Linked DNA regions of Caenorhabditis elegans. The protein of the gene in region 2 purifies or fractionates together with the protein of the main gene of each other region. This does not show direct contact. Each region holds a gene or a part of one and is shown on either strand. Other genes may lie near its edges.

Region 1 (3,756 bases), on a different chromosome or scaffold from region 2:
AATTCAAAATTAATTTAGATTTACTTTACGGAAAAATTCTGAAAAATCGACAAACCTTATTTAGGAATCGGTCTGATGAATAGTAAAGCACTTACACATTATTGAGCAAGATTTACTATTATTATCGCATCGCAAGTTGTTAAACATACTCAAACGATGTTCATTTATTCACAAATCGCAATTTCTATTCGTTTCGTTGTTGAAACTCAAACAAAGTATATTTGTTGTACAATCCGTGTAAATTTCATAGCACTCCTTCTAATTTGAATTTTTGGGTGCTTTCTGAAATAGTTTTTCAGAGAAGTTTATATTCATTTTAATTGCAGAGGTTGAATAACTCTCAATTCATTATGTCAATTCATATCTTCGTTAATTGTTTACATTTATACAATACACATCGGATGTGAAAACACGTTTGATCCCCATAAGTGTCTAGGAACATTTTCATTTTGTCATCTTTCACATTTACAGTATCCAAAAGGACATGTGTATCAAAATAAACTTTATTCACATAATTTCTTGATTATTTCTCGAAGGAATTAACACAAGTTTGAGATCTCTCCGAAATTGATCCAAATTCCTAATTAACAGGATTTATATAGAAGATCTTAAAATTGTTGTTGTCATGGGATTATAGAAAAATATTGCATGTTATTGGAGAGAAGATATACAGTAGTAACACAGAAAACGGGATGTGTGATGAGATAAACTTCGAAAACCTGACACAAGCTTTGTTACTTTTCAAAGGGCCTCCGGCTCGCAGATAGCATATTATTTAAGTTTCAATCATTGTTGACTTTGAGTAGGCTCAGCAATTGGCTGAACTGGTCCTGGGGCTCCACCGTTGCTCTTCTTTCTGCGGCAGAACTTGCGATGAATCTGCCAGTGTCCTTGTTGGCATTCAACGCTGCAATAAGCAGTGTTCCAGCAGCAATGATAGATTGCCTGAAATATGATCATGATGTTTCAGGTCTAGCGTTATTAATACAGCACTGGAGCGCAAAAGAATTATTTTCATGCTCGAAAGAAAATTAGCTTACAAATAAGATATAGTACTATGAACATTGGTATCACGACTCAGACTGATGTTAGAGATTTTGAAATATCTGGCAACACTCTACATCTTTTAAATAGAGAACCCGTCTAAATCAAAAAATCATAAAATCATAAAATCTCACCTCGCTGTTGCATTGCCAGCACCACTGCTTCTTCTTAGCGACAGCAAGTTCCCTTTGGTGTTTTTCCGACAGCTTTTCAATCTCCTCCTTGAGATTCTCCGCGTGCTTCTTCTCCAGCTCTTCCTTTGTCTGGTCGAGCTCTATCTTGAACTGAACCAACAAATCGCGACGGACTCGCTCCTGATCTTCCATGAATTCTTGATGGAGCTAAAATATAGATTTCTAAAATTAAAACTTTGGGGTGGTTGACTTACTTTTTCAGTTAGAGCAACGAGAGATTTCTCGCGGCTATCGTGATAATCCGTGAGCCATTGACGCTGAAGGTCGACAATCATTCGACGCATTTTGTCATCCACGTACAAGTCGTCGAACTGTAAAGATGATTTTTTTTAATTTTTTCCCGGTGAAAAATTTTAGTGAAAGTTGTTCTGTTATATTTTTCAAAAAAAAAAGCTCTTACCGTATTTGTTCCGTTTCCATTTTCCCCATTAACTTTTGGCGATGGTCCAGCTTCAGCTTCTTCCGACATTTCTGTAAATAACTGTGTTTCTCTGGAAAAAAATTAAATCAACTAATCAAAAATAAAAACTCTCGTCAGCACCGATATAAAAAAGAAAATAACAAAAGCGTTTAAAACCCCTCAACTCCACGCAGATACAACGATGCTCCGGAATTACGGCACTCTTGGTTTACACCAGTCTGAGCAGACGGCCGTCTGCTGTCTCGAGGTAATATTCAAATGACGACCGTAGAGAGATAGCGGAGAGGTAAAGCAAAAGAGAGAGCAGAGAGAAAGGAAATGGCAGATAATGAGCCCATGAGGCGAGTCGATATGTGGTCATGAGCCGGAGGGCGTTGCGCAGTCTAATGAAAGGATAAAGAAGAGATTATTGAGAGATGGAAGGTTCTGGTCACCTGCTCACAGACTACATTTTTTGAACAGAATGCGTTGTGACGTATCTGACTTTTTGATTTACAAAACAAAGGAAGAATTTGAATTTGTGTTTGACGCACTTAAATAAATTTCCGGGTGGATATGGAAAATTTGAGAATGAATATTTGAAAAAGAAAATCAAGAAAAAATGAGTTTTTTGAAAACGTATTCTTAGAAATTTTTCTTATAATTATAAGCCTTGTTGCTGTGCGACACAGGAAAAAATTAAAATTTTAACAAAAAACTTAAACTGGGAAAATGTTTTATTACATTTTGGAAACAAAACTGAAATCTCAAAAGATTGCCCCAAAAGCTCAGATACCCTTGGTTACGTCGTAGTTAATCATAAAATTTTTATGATTCTCGTAGGCTGAAATGGTGTATTATTGAAGCTTGAAGGGCTTCGCAAAACGGGAAATGAGATTTTGTGACTAACGGAAATTAGAGCCCAGCTAGCCGAAAATTTTGAAAAATTGAATATCAAGAGAAATATGTGGAAATTCTTGTTGGAAATTTTTAGGGATAAATATTGTTTTTTAAAACAATATTCGTTTTTTACGCACCAAATAGAAAAACAGAAGGAATGTGACAGAAATGTACAGAGAGGGTTGACTGACTTTGATTATCTTCTGGTATTTTTCCAGTTTTGCAAAGATATCTTAAGAAAACAGTATTAAAATGATTTCCAGAAGTTTCAGCGTTTTAGTAACTTTTATTAAGCAAACCTGTTAGTCGCAGAAAATCTGTCATCACACGTGATCGATGATATCTTTTTTTGTGTTCGATATCCTCAACCACGAATGCTGACTGAACACGTCTGCGAGATTTTCAAAAATATCCAGAATAAATTTTGAAGTAAGCATTGAATATCGTATATTTTCCTTCCAACGCGGCAATAGATGAGGGCGGCGGTGCACATAAAAATATCGCAAAGATGAGAACCATAAAATATTGGCGCTGCAGTTTTTTTGCAATTCGTTCTCTTTTCTTGACGCCCAAATTTGTTGGATCCTATGAAACAAAACGAAGGGTAGTAATGGGTGATAATGTACAGTTCAGTTCTACAGTTCAGAGCTCGGAAAATTCGGCAAATATCGTTTTTTAATATTTGCCGTGCTTAACAAACTAGGAAAATGTGATAATTTTTTATGTCTTTTTTATGTGAGCATTTTTTCGACTGTGGATTGCAGTTGACTAGACAATTAACTAAGTTAACTAAGTTAACTAGACTATAATTGACTTCCGAAGATACTCAAGTCGGTTGGGACAATCAGTTTTTTCTGCACTGATCTGCTTGATGTATCCTAATCGGCTTCATCTTTATCTGAGTAGGTGTGCTGCAAATTTGCCGTTTGCCGGGCTCGGCAAATTTCAAAAAAGTAGATTTGCGGAACTTTCCGAGCTCGGCTAATTATGTTAGGCCGGATCGATTTTACATGACTCATTTCCGTTGTTATCAATTTTTCTATCTGCTGAACAGGTTAACAACCATATGATAAGACGCGTAATGTGCCTATGTAATCATTTATTAAAAACAGTTTTTTGTGTACGAAAAAATTTCAAATAGAGGTGCCTGATTTTTACAAGCTGGATAAAACAGATAGTTCAAAAGTGGTATGATGTATGATGACAACGTTTATAGAA
Region 2 (3,756 bases):
TCCCCCGAAAAGGAAATTTCCCATAGATTAGTGCTTTCGGGGGAAACACTAAAGATTATAGGCTTATCACTGATTATATATATAGTTGAAAATCTCTTTTAATGTTTGATCGAACGAAATTATTTTGCTTTGCTACCGGGGGATTTTGCCCAAAGCTTCTTCTGACGATAAATGCCATCTAATTTGAGTGCCGGCGATTATTTTCTGTTGAGTCCAAAAAAACAAACTACCTTCTGCAAGCTTCAACGCCGGAATCAGTTTATCACGGATGAAGATATTTGTCCGTTCGTCGAGATCATCGTCGGAAGTTTCGGCGCCTGGAAAAAATTGAAAAGGGTCGTAGAAAGCTGTATTTGGTTAATTTTCTTGCACAGGTACCAATTTATGATGTGTTTGAGCCAAGGCCTAAATACTGATAACAAATTTAAAAAGCTCTCAACCGTGATGCATATTATTTTGGACTTCTGTAAATTTTGTACTCTTCTATTGGTATTGCACCCCACTAGTTTCCTTTGGAAGGGCAGGACTCGGCACATTTTGTAAATATCAATAGATAATTAATTATATAGAGAAAAAATTAACAAATTGGCAATTTTAAAATAAAATACAGGACAACTTAGATACTTATTGTTAGGCGCTTTTAAAGTTAAAAAGTGGGGTGCCTAGATAAGTGATGCGACTAAAAAGTAAAGTTTAAATTCCTAAATTGTTGAAAATTTAGTTTAAATTGCACCTAGCTATTTTCTAAATACCCACTAACAGAATAAAACTGCAACTAACATTTAATTGCATCAATTGCTCATTGCGCTAAATTTAATATTCACTATCAGCAAATCAGTTAACTTGTTGACTTTTTTGAACATATATCAACTATGAATTGCAATAAAAAATAGCAATTTCAAGTCACTCATAATTAAAGTGATATGTATTTTTTTAAGATCATAATAACATTTCAATTTTCTTCAACTGCGATCAACTACAACTAAAATGATAAGTTGATAAGTCGCATTTTGTATAGCTGAAATTAGGCAATAATAACTATGTAATAAGATTCTATTCTAATAGAAAAAGTCTGCAGCTAATCTGCAATAACATAAATTGCTTAACTTTGGGCTCAAACAATTTCCATAGTCAAACTAATCAAAATTAAACACGAATTTCTAAAAGCCAGCTAAATGGGACTAATACATACTTTTTGAGCTAATAAAAAAATAATCAGTGTTTTTTTCTAACTTCTTAAACGATATACATATTCGTGATGATAATTAGAAAATTTTTTTAGAGTTACAACATAACTAGATTATACCAAAAAACCTATCAACTGCATAAGCACTACGCAACTCGAATATGATTGGCTGAACCTGATATGAAAAACATTTCTATATATTTACTACTACATATATCAAACTTAACAACCTTAACTTGATTTCACTTATATTGGATATTGGATCAAATTTCAAATATGTTTAACTATATCTAGTTTGTCAAAAAAAAAAATAGAGCGTAAACTATTAAATTTGTGATTATAACTAAAAATTTATGTAAACCAGTGAGAATTCGATTTTAATTGCACTTTTTTGTTTAGATAGAACCAAATCATCATCTAGCTGCATAATAATACCTATATTAACCCAATTAACCCGAAAAATAGATTGATGACTTTTGCTATCAAACACCAAAACCTCAAAGTACTCACCATAAACCAGTGCGAGCAGGCAGAACACCACGTGCCGTATCCTCATAATTTATTTCCCAAGAGTTTAGTTCATCAGGAGATCTGGAAAAAAAGCAAAGTACATAGAAGGCAAAAGATGAGAAAAGAGATGAAGCATGCAACAAAACTATAAGAAGATATGTATACGTGTGTGTGTGTGTGTGGTTGAGTGTGAGGAGGGGGAGCCGGAGCACATGGAGAGAAAGAGAAGAGCCAAGCAGAGACGCAGACGGTGAGCAGATACTGACGAGCGGCTCACCTAGTCCACTATGAATGGAATTGAATAGAGAAGAAGAAGACGTTCCTTGTTTATCTTTTTTTTTTCGCGTTGCCACGTGACTTTCTTTTATTGTTGAATTGAGTGTTATTTTGGAATTAGGTAGGATATGAGATTGACAATGTATAACTCGATATAGAGAGTAGGATGGGAAAACATTTTCTCAACTGACCAACTCTTTATAATTCAATTTGCAATATTTTTAGTAGACATCGAAAATTTGTAACTATACAGATAACGTTGCACAAAATTTTTCAGTGAGGTTTTTGGAGAAACTACTTCAGAGTGTCTCATTTCGGCGTGATCTACGTAGATCTACAAAAAATGCGGGAGAAGAGACGCAGAGTTCACAACTGATTTTGCATGATTACAAAAGTGCTGACGTCATATTTTTAGGCAAAAAAATCCCGCATTTTTTGTAGGTCAAAACGAAATGGGGCAGCCTCGCAGCACGGGATAACGCTATTTAGAACTCTATGGACTGTGCTGGCTAGTAGAAAATAAACTTTAAACGGATGCATATACAGTGCGCCCAACTGCTATGGGACACCCCCTAATTTTTAGGGTTTCAGACACTTTCGAACTTTTTCATGGAAAACTAGTATCGGAATCGGATTCAGCATACCAAAAAACCTATGTACCTACAATTTTATTCTGATTGCTGAAAAATTGAGAGCAAACGAGCGAAAAGTTAAAAAATCGACCGCCCAACTGCTATGGGACACCTCGAGAATTTGGAAATTTTTCACGAAAACTTCGATTTTTTCGAAAAGTGTCAAAATTTTAAAAAGTTAAATAACGTTCATTCACTTGTTTTACCAGTGTATTTTTTGATTTCATATCATGGAAACAAGCGGAAGCATGAACTCTTCTAATTTTCACATTTTAGTACCTTTAAGCTCGTTTTGAAGCTACTGAGTTTCCAATTTTTACCAAACTTTCAAATATGGTAAATTACACAAAATGTCACTCTCTGGTGCATTTTCATACGATTCGGACTTTTTTGAACCGTTTTAGAGATGAATTTGTACTAAGCTTTTCCTTATTTTTTGTTTCCATAAGGCTTCTGGGCTCATTTCTGAGCAACCGATTGAGTTTTCGTTACGAAACTTTACAGACATGTTTTTCACAAGACAGTTATCAATTTTTGCTAAAAATAGCTTCTTAGCCTATATGTACCGGTCTACGCGGTCCTGCTAACTTTTCATAAAATCGATAAATAAATAAATTTTTGATTTTTTTTTTATATCCCTCCATTTTTTATATCCCTCCAGAAGCTAAAACTTCGCAGACTACAAAGACTACATAGACTACAAACTATGGACAAACGGAATAAGCGCTTTATATATAGTAAATGATAGCATAAAATCTTAAATTGCTTATACCGTATTTCTTCTATTAGTATGGCTGCAATACTATTTTTCGATAGTCTTCCCGCTTGCAATACTTTTTTTATTTTTGCCCAATAGGGAGTGCAATACTAATTTTCAGAACATTTTTCTGACTTTCAGCTTACTAGTTTTTTTTTTCTGAAAAAGCTCGAATCTTATGTAAAAATTCAGAAAAGGAAGGTCTCCGAGGGGCAATACTAATAGGGAGTGCAAGTCTAATAGGGAGGCCATACTAATAGAAGAAATACGGTATTCTCGTGGGTACTAAAACTATCAAAAAATTGCAAATTTAATTGTGGAAGCCTTGTCATTTAACAATTTTAAAATTTTTCGAACAAAGTTCATTTCATACTGAGAAGCACACACTTTTCACA

What was found.
Region 1: the proteins of daf-1 (region 2) and bra-1 purify together in Caenorhabditis elegans (affinity purification with western blotting, with the first as the bait; one study listed by BioGRID). This does not show direct contact.

Annotation. Positions count from the first base shown.
Region 1 is NC_003284.9:13,596,422-13,600,177, reverse strand, and holds bra-1 (MYND-type domain-containing protein), read right to left. Parts: upstream 1,730-3,756; 5' UTR 1,708-1,729; coding exon 1,639-1,707; intron 1,550-1,638; coding exon 1,433-1,549; intron 1,386-1,432; coding exon 1,179-1,385; intron 946-1,178; coding exon 787-945; 3' UTR 491-786; downstream 1-490.
Region 2 is NC_003282.8:130,437-134,192, reverse strand, and holds the start of daf-1 (Cell surface receptor daf-1), read right to left. Parts: upstream 1,778-3,756; 5' UTR 1,743-1,777; coding exon 1,697-1,742; intron 318-1,696; coding exon 231-317; intron 1-230. UniProt on the Caenorhabditis elegans protein: Probably involved in a TGF-beta pathway. May be a receptor for TGF-beta-like ligand daf-7. Controls the decision of whether or not larvae enter a developmentally arrested state, known as dauer, in response to environmental conditions.